3 linked regions of the Rhinolophus ferrumequinum genome follow. The protein of the gene in region 1 interacts with the protein of each later gene in a pairwise test. Links are inferred from orthologs where the notes say so. Each region holds a gene or a part of one and is shown in the gene's direction. Other genes may lie near its edges.

Region 1 (3,747 bases):
TCCCTGGCTTTCCTTACTTACCTTCTGGGGTAAATGTGGGAAAGAGTTATGAGTATTAGCGATTCTCTTTTTCACCCAGCAGCTGAAGTGATTTGGTTGGGACTTGTTTCCTCAACCTTGCCTCACTTACAGCTTAAGTCTTTACAACCTAAGTTTCATTTATGCTCTCCACTCCTTACCCTACTTTACCTTAATTGCAGTGATGGCAAAGGCTATTTTCCGCCGCCCATCGATATTGGTGTTGAGTACTCGCAAAATGTGCTGGAACTTCTCAGGGATCACTAGAGACTGATAGAGATTGGGGGAGAAAGCAGACACCGTGAACGACCATCAACTCATAACCTCAAACAGGAACGTTCAACTTGTCACACAGGGAGCAATGGTCCCTCGTCAGGCTTTCACAACACAGCAAACTCCTTAGACCTGCAGACAGCAGGAACATGAAGTGTTTGGACTTGGGGAAATGCAACCTCTGGGAGAGGACAAATCTCCTGCCTTTTCCCAAAAGTACACTCTGAGTGGCGGAGGCCGGAGGTCCCCAAACGCGCCCAAGCCTTTCGCCGTTTTTGAGCGCCCGGGGAGTGACTGTTCCTCTGGCCCCACTCCCCGGAACTGGATGTCTTTAGTCGTTCCTTCCCGGGGCGCGATCCAAGGTTCCACACAGAAAGTTGCAGGCCCCAAACCAGGGTGTTCTCGGTCCGCTGATAGCAGACCTTCCCTGCCCCGGTCCGGATGTCGCCGGATCCCCGGACGGATTCGAGCCTTACCATGGCGGCAGCCCCAGTGGCGGCGTGCAGGCCTCCTGTGGAAAAGAGAGCGGTAGTGACGTAATAGTCTTATATAGTTATCAGGAGGAAGAGGCGGGACTACCTTAGTGAAGCGCTTCCGGAAACAGTTTATGCCCTAGTCCACTAGACTTCTGAGAGTCTAAATTAGTCGTCACAACTTCCGGTTCCGCGTCTATTTACAGTTCGTAAACTTTTGGGGTTAGAGAGCAGCGAAGGTTCCGGGCGAGATTGTGCTTAAGACTTCCATTTCCCATTTGTACTCGAGTGAAGTGGTTAGAGCTTTAACGCAAATATCTGGGAACGATTTCGCGCTGTGCAAGACACTCTAAGACTTGTAGTTCCCTCCGGGAAACGGACTTGCGGCGACTGACAGCTGCCGGAAGTGAGGCTGCGCGGAATGGCTGCCGCTGCCACCATGGCGGCAGCTGCCCGGGAGCTGGTATTGCGGGCCGGGGCTTCAGATGTGGAGGAGGAGGAGGGCCCGCTGGTGAGAACGCCGGGCTGTTTCTCCGGGATTTTGTCCGGTCGTCCTTGCGTCAGAAAGATCTGGGCTGGGTTTTTGCAAGAGTGGGAGCTTGGCTGCTACCGGAGGTCCTCTCCATACCCCTCCCTGGGGCCAGAATGCTGGAAACTCAGCTTCCCAGGACACAATTTCAGTTAACCTCCAGATTATGAGACAGCATAGAAAAGCAGTGCAGTGTGAAGGTTAAGAGTATGGCCTCTGGAGCCCGATTGCCTCTGTTCTAATTCTAGTTCTGCTACTTACATGCTGTGTCCTTGGGCACGTTAACTAGCTTCTCTGTGCCATCGCTTTACATACCTACCTTATAAGGTGAAGAAAATAATAAGACCTACCATATAGGTTGTTGGTTATGAGTCCATGAATGAGTATATTTAAGATGGAACCAGGCCTCCAAGTAACTATTGGGTGTTAGCTGACAGTTCTAGAAAGGCTGGAGCTCCCTAGAGAGATTGTGATATAACACCTAAGATAGCAGGAGTTTGGGGACTCCTAAATTCAACTGCAAGTTCTGCTCTGTCCTCTCCAACTCCTAATTTTTCTCAGTTGGACATCTTCATTCTCTTTGTGGGTTGTATGGCTCCTTGTCGTAGTCCCTACACTTCAGCCCCAAGTAGTAGATTGGGTACAAGGTGAGACTCTTGGAAGTTTTTGACTCAGCACCTATGGCTCCCCAGTAAAAGTTCCCCTCTCCCCCTTGAAGTATTGGCGATTATCCCATTATATTGTGTTCTCCCCCTCTTTCCGTGTATCCTTTCTCATTAATTTATCCCTCTCCAGGGGGGTGGTCCTGGTCTTCAGGAGCCATTGCAGCTTGGAGAGTTGGACATTACCTCTGATGAATTTATCCTGGATGAAGTGGATGGTAAGTGATGGCACTGGATGCAGAGCGTCTATAATCTGAGCGGCATGGGGGCTGGAAGTAATGAGGCAGGGGTTGGTGTGCAGATGTTCAGTGCGGGCAGAGGGCATTATGGAACTGAACCCTTATAATACACTTCTATTTCCAGTTCACATTCAGGCAAATCTGGAGGATGAGTTAGTAAAGGAAGCTCTTAAAACGGTAAGTCTTTCTGCTATACTAATCTGCCACGCCACCCCCTGCCCACACCTTTTTAAAGAAAAAAAAAAGGAAACAGTTTCTTGTACTTATAATGCCACCCTGATGTCTTACCTTCTGGTCCTTCATTGATTCTGTTCCAGTGTCCCTTCACTGTGACTTCCTCCTGACCTGTTTATGTTCTCCCAGGGTGTGGATCTCCGTCACTATTCAAAGCAGGTTGAGCTGGAGCTACAGCAGATTGAACAGAAATCCATTCGAGATTGTATCCTCCAGCAGAGGAAAAGGGTGGTATTATTAAAATGGGGATTTTGTGGAGCATGATGCAGACAGCCTAACTGGGGATGACATCTTCTCTCTGAGGCTTCTGTCACCTCAGGGCGAAATTGAAGAGGTCCTGAAGGCCTGAGGATCTCCATTTTCATGGTGAGCCTCCTTGACTTTCTGTGGGTCAGATATCCAAGAGAGTGAGAACATAGCATCTCTGCACAACCAGATCACAGCCTGCGATGCTGTCCTTGAGGTTAGTAAGCATGACCTGTGATCTCTAATAACCTTGAACCAGATCATGGTCTTTGGTGCCACTCTTTAGGTCATCAACCTTAGGTGGAGACAGTTAGAATCACTTCCAGGATGACCTCAGCAGCCTTTTGTTGTTATAGTTGTAACTAATGTTATTTGCTAGTGACCTTTGGGGTATCTCTTCCCTCATCACCTGCTACCCTCCTGGACTGATAGATACTGGGGACTTCACCAATGTGCTTAGGTGTCCCACGTGTCCCCTACCTACCCTGTGACACTCCAGCAACATCTTCTGCCTTTCCCCCCAGCGCATGGAGCAGATGTTGGGAGCTTTCCAGAGTGACCTGAGCTCCATCAGCTCTGAGATCCGGACACTGCAGGAACAGTCAGGAGCCATGAACATTCGGCTTCGAAACCGCCAGGCAGTTCGGGGGAAACTCGGGGAGCTTGTCGATGGCCTGGTAGTGCCCTCTGCTCTGGTCACGTGAGTTACCAGTTTGAAAGGTCACAATGTCTATAGCAGGTAGATAGGCTGGGGTGACCTAACCTATTTACCACATGGGTTTCCTGACTCCAGGTTATCAAGTGTCATCCAGAAACTGATGGTTGGGTTGACAACTGTTTCTAACCTTGATGCATGCTTTAGGCATCAAAGACTAGGAATCGTCCAGGGTCAGGCATGTAGTGAGGGGGTCCAAGGCTTATGTGGGAAGCGGGGGTCCAGGAATAGAAAACTCTGTATGTATATCCTGACTGTATGGTACAGTGTAAGAAGGGCAAGGGGACAGAGGCTGGATGTAAGTGATATGATTTGGAGTGTAGGGATGTCTGGGTCTCCCTCCTAACCCGTCCCACCC
Region 2 (3,747 bases), on another chromosome or scaffold:
CCAGCTACAGAGGTCGTTTTGTTTGGCACTGGAATGCAAACTGGCCCATCCACTTCTGAGGTCTCTTCCAACTTGAAGATATGAGTTATATGTCACAGGTATCACCGCCTGGGTGTTTAATTGAGGTCAGTTTTTCAAGCCTCCACCTACCTGTGTGGAACTTGACTTCTTCTGAAAGTAACACCAGATATTTCTGAGTCCCTAAATATTCCGACAGACACACACGTTGGCTCAGCGTCCAAGGAAAGTCACCATAGAGACTGTGACCAGTGCCCTCTACCAAGCCTAGCTCCGTCAAGGATGCCATGTCCCTTTGCTCCCAAAGCCACTGCTGCCCGAAATGTCAGGATGCTGCTGGATTCTCATCCCTAGGCCTTTTAGGGTCCCCTCAGGGAACGGGGCTACTACTGTTCTAGGTCCAACTATGGGTGTTCCCAGGCGCCTTCAGTTATTGTCCATCAGTCCCCACTCGTCCCTCCAGATACCACTGTCCCCACCCTCCAGATACCACTGTCCCCACCCATGTGACCCTCTGCTAGTCCTGGAGAACAGGAATCCTTGTGAGGCTGGCTCCGTGAGGCATTGCCAGAGAGCAAGAAGGACAGTGTCAGCTACTTAGCAGCAGGTGGGATCTATTTTGGAAGAAATGCTTCTCCCTTCGTTTCCCTGAGACAAATCTTCGATGTGCCTAGGCTTTTGGAAACCTGCTTTTACTCTTTCACAAACCTCCCTTGAAGAGAAAGGAGAAAATAATCGAAGAAAAACACAGATGAGTTTTGCCGTAAGTTTTCTTTCCCCACAGTACCTCAGAATGAAAGCACTTCCCAAGATTAATTAAGAGAAATTTATTTTGTCTCAAAGATCCCAAGTTACCGAGATGCAAAGAATTTTTCACTTCACCGGCCCCGCCCCGCCCCGCCCCGCCCCGCCCCGCCCCGCCCCGCCCGGCTCCCCGCCTCCCGTCCCCCGCCCCCCGCCCCGCCCCGCCCCCCGCCCCGCCCCGCCCGGCCCCGGGCTGCGTGCGCACGCGCGTCCCCGGGCGGGGACTGGGCCTGGTGCGCCTGCGCGGATGGGCAGTCCGGCGGGGCCGCAGCCGCGGGGTGGCGGGCGGTTGTCTTAGAGACCGCGCGGGCCCCTCCGTCCTCCGGACCCCGCCCCACGCCGTTGCCCACCGAGCCGGACGATCCCCGGACGACCCCGGGACGACCACGCCCGTCCCCTGCCGCCGGCCGGGCCGGAGCTGCGCCGGGACCCGCGAGAGGCGGTGCCGCCCCGAGATGTCGCAGACGGCCATGTCGGAGACCTACGGTACCGGGCGCAGGGCCGGGGGCGGGCGGGCGGTGCGTCCCGGTCCAGGCCTCCTGCCGCGCTGACGCCCCGGGTTCCTCTCGGCGCGGTCTGGTCTCCGTAGCGCGGGGTTTGGGAAGGCGGCTCGCGGCTGTTCCATCTGCGGCATTGTCCCCAGCGAGGGACGTGACGGGCTCGGGCGACGCCTGCGGCCCCGGTGGACCTTTGCTGCCTTGGAGCCCCCTCCTGCACGGGGTCACGGGTGGGGCCGGCTCTGTGAGCGGCTCTCGGGGGCGTGTGCCCCGCTCGTGTCCCCTCGGGTTCAGCCCCTTCTGGTTGCGCCTGACGTTGGCAGTGTCTCCAGACGGCGGGCACCTCGCGAGCACCGGGGCCCGCGTTTGCGCGCCGCTGCTCCCGTCGGCGCCCACACCTGCGGGCGCCCAGCACATACCTTTTGAATAAACCGAAGCCTTGCGGAGTCACGCGCGGTTTTCGTCTGGGTGTGAGGCCTGCGCGACAGAAGTGAAGTGCGCGGTGTGCGCGCCCGCCCTGTCGGGGCTGAGCTGGCGCCGCTTTAGTCGCCCTGAACGGCGTGTGCATTCAGGTCGAGGCCGATTGGGAGTTTTACAGCCCAGGTCAGAGGCTCGGATTCAAAAGTGTGTACCTCACGTCGGATCACTTTTGTCTCCGTTTGTGCTGTCACGCTGCTCCTTCCCCTTCAGCAAGTGTGTGTGCACGGGCGTGCGGAGCCGCGCTGGAAGGCGCTGACTCCCGGCGGGCGGGCGGTCTGGCTGGGGGTTCAGTGCGGACCTGCTTATGCCACTGACGAGTGACTAGTTAAAACCCCTGGCAGGAGTTCCGAAGCCTGTGGTCTGTGAAAGTATGTGAGAAAGAAACCTAACCCAGGCTGGGGGCCAGGGGACGGCAGCACAGCACGTGCCCAGGCCCAGGCCGGGAGGGAGATGCAGTTCCACTGGGGGAGTGTGGCTTGGGCCCCACAGCCCCTGGGAGAGCCCTGAGGGCGAGGCACAGAGGACCTCGTGCGAGGATGTGGTCTTTCTCCCGAGAGCGGTGGGTGGGTCAGTGCATTTGCTCCATGTCCTGCCACTCCTGGGAGTGGTACATGCATGGTGACACTGGGGGGCACTGCAGCAGGTCTGTCCCTAGAAGGCTTTGGAGATCCTCCAGGAAGTCGCTGGCTTCACAAGGACCAGTGTAGTCAGAGCTGCAAATGCTACAGTACGTCACATCCCGTCACATCCCCGTGGTCCATAGAGAACCACTGTTGAATTTCTTAAAGAAAATATATTTCTCTAGCAATGTTTGATTATACTTTTGCTTTTCTTTATTTTCAAGTGCTCCTAACCTCCACACTCCTCTTTAACCTGGATAAGGAGCACAAGAAAGGGGTGAAAAGTCTAAATAAGAAAAGCCAGTGGGGTTATGAAATAATAAGAAATGAGTGGAAGAGTTCATTTCTCTTATATGGGATGATAACCTTGATAAAATGGAGCATGCCTCTGGCATCTCTGCTTCCCTTCTGACAGTGAATTAAACTTTTGAGCATCACAGTAACTGATTAAATTTGATCCTAAGGTTTTGACCATCAGTATTCTTATTTCATGGTAACTTCCAAACATGTTTTTACTTTTTACCAACAGAATTTAATCTTTCTCTCTAGAGGAAACAAATAGAAAATAAGTTTTAGAAAGAGCAAATGTGGAAATTGAAAGTGTCAACCTAAAATTAAAAATCACTCCAAACCAAGTCCTAAGCTGTCACCTTCCCTTATTGACCATTTTTGCACAGCATTGTGCCCCAAAGGTAAATCAATCAGGGGCCCTCCTCCCACACATTTGCCTCTTGGATAGCTGGTAAAGGAATATTTGCCTAATCTTTAAACTCCTTTCTAGTCTGGGCTCACTTTCTCTCTTCTGGGAAAGAAGGCTCTGTGTAGCTTGACCGGGATGATGAAAAAGGAAGAGCCAGGCTTATAATGTACCGTTAGTGAGCTCTGTCTGCCCTCTGTGTGCCTGTTAAAGCATTTGATCCCCTCATAGACTGAGGAGTGTGCAACATTTTGCTGCTTTGAAACCACTAACCACATGAAAACTCTATGTATTATTGTAACAGAAAATTGAAATAAACACAGAAGTTTCAGATTGAAACCTTCAATCTGAATAGCCGTCAACTAAAACAGTGGTTCCCAAATGTTACCAGGTTCATGACACTTTGAAAGCCCTGGCCAAGTAGGCTGGCTTGGGACTTCCCAAGGAACTGCAGCCATCTAACACGGGAGATCGCAAATTAGCTTTAAGTAATTTCTGATAATCAAGATTTATGAGACAAAACTAACAAATCAGAGAAGTATTAATAGTTCCCAGCAATGGAGTTCAGAAAGGAGCTAAAAAGTGTTAAGTGATGCAGAAAATGCTATGAATTAAAAATAAAAAGTTTAAG
Region 3 (3,747 bases), about 3.7 Mb from region 1:
TTAGACAAGGAATCCTTTAAGTATTCTCCAATATGTGAAAAGACATGTGGTAGCAGTAAACAAGCCACCTCAACAGTCCTTTGTTGGGATGGAAACTATTCTGACTGGTGTGTGCTTTCTGCCCACGCCCCTCATCACTGGTGTACAGCCACAGAAACTGAAAAAGAGCAAAAAACACTGACGAGACATTCAAAGGATTCAAAATGCTAATATTAAATCTCATTCTGGATTTAAAACTAGATTGAAAATAAAGTCAAGGGTGAAAAACTGATAATAGATTAATAAGAGAAATTAAGTCTGTTTGGGTTTATATCCTTACTCTTTGTGATTCACGTCATGGAGATATATTCATGCGTCCTCGCAAGAAACATTACTTGGTCTGAATTGGATGAATACTTTGTCAGCATCTGGGTTCTGGTCAGAAAGTGACAGTTATTAGATGAAACAGGGATTCAGGGGTGTCCAAACTGCGGCCCACGGGCCAAGTGTGGCCCAGGATCCATTGTTAATTGGCCCGCAACAAATTCCAAAAATATATTTAGTTTACTTAAATAAACCAGGTGAGGCAATACGTACTTCACCTCGAGTGAGTGGCCCGGCTGTGTGTGTATTTTACTGCATATGGCCCTTGGTGAAAACCGTTGAAAAAAGTTTGGACACCCCTGGATTAGATCATTTGAACTTCACCCACAGCACAGGTCCTTCAATAGTGTTCAATGAACAGAGGAGAAGAAGATTCTCATGAACCAACCGTTACTCACGTGTTGAACAGTCAGCAACCATACGCTATCCAACCGTATTGATCTTCCTTCACAGATTAAAATATATATATATATATCGGGGTCCGAACCGAAAGGGAAACGGAGGGTAATAACCAGTGTCACTGAGCTGGGTGGGAGATTTTAAAATGGGCTGCAAATAACACATGGGACCTCATTTTTAGGTCAAGATTTACGTATATAAATAAATACATATGCTTTCTCTTCCCCAAAAATATTAGACTCCAGAACCTCATTCCCTCCAAAGAAAACTGTACCCTTTCCTCTTCCCATAGGTCCTTCACCTGCTTCTTCCAGGTTAAGGAACCTTCAGTCCCGCCTCCCTGCGGGTCCGAGCTCCGCCTTCCCGGTCCACCTGTGCGCCCAGCCCCTGACGTCACCGTTCGGCTTCAGCGGCTTGCAGGATTCCGGCTCCTGATTGGTTCGTCCGACCACGGCCTGGCAGTCCACCAATGGCAGCGGCGCTGGGTGGGGAGGTGCCCATATCCAAGATGGCGGTCCCAGCACCTAGGAGCGGGTGACCGGCAGCGGGGGAAGTGGCCTGGGTTGGCCCTCCGATTGTGGGGTCCTGGGGGCATCTCGCCGAGTACCCCCTGGCCCGCCTACAAGGCCTTCCCCGGGCCAGAGCAATGGCTGCCGAGAACAGCAAGCAGTTTTGGAAGAGGAGCGCCAAGCTGCCGGGGAGGTGAGCCCAGGAGCTGAGAGGAGGAAGAGGGGATTGGACCAAACCCTTCCGGATCCGAAGCCCTAAATCTCGCGGGCCTGGAGCTCCGCCGACCCCGGCGGGCTGGTTTGGGCAACGTGGGCTGGGGGAGCTGGGGCTGCCTGGTGGCGGCAGGGAAGCTGTCAGGATGAGGCGCAGGCAGCAGGGTTTGGGGACGGCTGGTTGTGGGAGCAGCCCCGGGTCTGGGGGTGGAGGGCTCTGGAGGGGCTGCCCTCAGCCAGACGGTGGCCGGAGTCCGGGCGTAAAAGACCCTGGAGTGGGATGAGTAGCCTGTGTCCGTCCTGGATTAGGAGGGTCAGCCCTGGAACTGCTTCTCACGTTAAAGAGAACTCTCTCTTGGGGGGGGGGTTGTCTCCCCCACACACAGGTGGTTGTTTGGACAAGGATGGCCCCTTCCCCTGCTCCTCCAGCTCTGCACGTAGGAACCTTTTTCCTGGATTCCAGCAAGGTTCTGCTGGGAGCTTGGGACCCTCTGCAGGGGGACAGGAGAAATGAGGAAAAGTCTCAGGCCTGACCTTACTTCATCTTCAGTTGGCCTTTTCCCATTAGGAATTATTACAGGGTGACCCAAGAATTGAGGTTATTTCTTTAATCTTTTCTAAGGATTTATTCAACCCCAAGTAACCCTTTACCCTCCTGCGTTGTATCGTTCTACTAAATTTTTTCGTTGTTCAGTTGATGGGTTGGAGAGCAGACCTTCTAAGCTACTTTTTTTTTCCTTTTTGATGTATGTTGAGACCCTTAACAATTGTACATCCTTCCATCTGCTGTTGGTTTACAGTTTCAATTTGTTTTGGGCAGAGTCCTGAGATGTATAAGGAGGAGTGAAGGTTCCGTCGTGAATTTAAGATTTCTGACAGCCATAGTCTGCTTGGTGATGAAATTCATGTGGGTTCCCCCACGTGCTACCTTTCCTCATTGATTGGGGTCTTTTCTTTCTGGGATAATCCTTTGAACTTGTGACCTTTTTTTTTTTTTTTTCCAATAGCAAGAGAGAAAGGGTCAATGGTGGCTATATAGCAGACTTATTTTATTTAGGATCCTATCAGACATATGGAGAATGGTGGGACTCAGCTACTAGTGACACAGTATTAAAATAATGCAAGGGAATGCAGAGATAGCTTCAGATGAAAGTGCTGTGGAATTACAGTGTTAATGTCAGTGCTAATGACTTCTATGTTTTTAGATAAGCACCACTTCCTGCCAACTGATTCCTTTTCCTTCCTGGTCTAGTGAGCTCTCCAGTCTCACTAACTGTTGTTCTCTGGGGTTTTCCATAGTGAGATCATTAAATGTTGACATCCTAAGGTTATAATCAGAATCAATGGGAGAACTGTTAAATCAGGAAGCAATAGATGAGATGTGGGACATGGCACGGTCTTTTGTGCCTGCTGAGTGCTAGTTGTTATTAACAATCTTTCGTTTTGTGTGTTTCCTATTTTGGACTATAGGAGCAGTCACCTTTTTTCAAGGCACTATTTTTGCAAGATAGAAAGAGGAGTCTTTTCAGTTTTCTCAAGTTTCTGGCTTCCTTTTTCATTTTGAAGAGGAATATAGAGGGATAGAGGAGAGATCATTTCAGTTCAGAAAGACTTGGGTTATTATTTGGACCCTTTTACCTGTGTGATTAAGGACAAATGGTTTGCTCAATTTCTCGAGGCTTCAATTTCCTGATCTATGAAATGAGGATAAAAATACTTTCCTCAGGGTTACTGTGAGGACTTAATTTAACATCCTATTTGTAAAGAACCAAGGACAGTATTTATTTAGTACATTATGGTTGCTCATTATATACTAGTAATTAGTATATTCTTACTAATTATTCTTACTACTATTATTCTTAATACTACTATTATTCTTACTACTAATTATTCTTAATACTACTATTATTCTTAAAGCAAATAAATAAACCTTTACTCAGATCCTTACCCTGGTGCTGGGTATTTATGTTCATTGTTTATCTTGAGACATCAAAGTGTTGCCATGATTGACAGTAGTTTTTATACCTTGCTTGTTGAGAGGAAGTATTGTTTAGTTATGTGTTTTTAGCAGGGAAGCCTCCAGGATCCCCTGGTTATGGGGACAACTAGTTTTAGATCGTAAGTGCTTTGATTTAAGGAAAACGTTAGGGCATTTTCTCAAGAATATAATTTTTGCACTTGTACTCTTTCTGTTTTAGTGAAGAAACACTTTCTCCTGGGTGGGGAAAGACATAGACAACTGTGTTTAGGCCCCTTGCAACCT

The links.
Region 2: the proteins of VPS52 (region 1) and RAB4A interact in binary tests that used the Homo sapiens proteins (3 or more experiments, as listed by UniProt). The two-hybrid records come from large-scale screens. The link is inferred for Rhinolophus ferrumequinum from reciprocal best matches to the Homo sapiens genes VPS52 and RAB4A.
Region 3: the proteins of VPS52 (region 1) and TBC1 domain family member 22B interact in binary tests that used the Homo sapiens proteins (3 or more experiments, as listed by UniProt). The link is inferred for Rhinolophus ferrumequinum from reciprocal best matches to the Homo sapiens genes VPS52 and TBC1D22B.

Annotation. Positions count from the first base shown.
Region 1 is NC_046286.1:3,617,722-3,621,468, reverse strand, and holds the start of VPS52 (vacuolar protein sorting-associated protein 52 homolog), read left to right. Parts: upstream 1-953; 5' UTR 954-1,185; coding exon 1,186-1,275; intron 1,276-2,088; coding exon 2,089-2,173; intron 2,174-2,318; coding exon 2,319-2,371; intron 2,372-2,557; coding exon 2,558-2,633; intron 2,634-2,823; coding exon 2,824-2,891; intron 2,892-3,198; coding exon 3,199-3,374; intron 3,375-3,747. Other genes in the region: RPS18 (40S ribosomal protein S18), read right to left, coding at 190-288, 768-770. UniProt on the Homo sapiens protein: Acts as a component of the GARP complex that is involved in retrograde transport from early and late endosomes to the trans-Golgi network (TGN).
Region 2 is NC_046310.1:27,088,487-27,092,233, reverse strand, and holds the start of RAB4A (ras-related protein Rab-4A), read left to right. Parts: upstream 1-1,037; 5' UTR 1,038-1,277; coding exon 1,278-1,308; intron 1,309-3,747. UniProt on the Homo sapiens protein: The small GTPases Rab are key regulators of intracellular membrane trafficking, from the formation of transport vesicles to their fusion with membranes.
Region 3 is NC_046286.1:7,334,398-7,338,144, forward strand, and holds the start of TBC1 domain family member 22B, read left to right. Parts: upstream 1-1,300; 5' UTR 1,301-1,408; coding exon 1,409-1,464; intron 1,465-3,747. UniProt on the Homo sapiens protein: May act as a GTPase-activating protein for Rab family protein(s).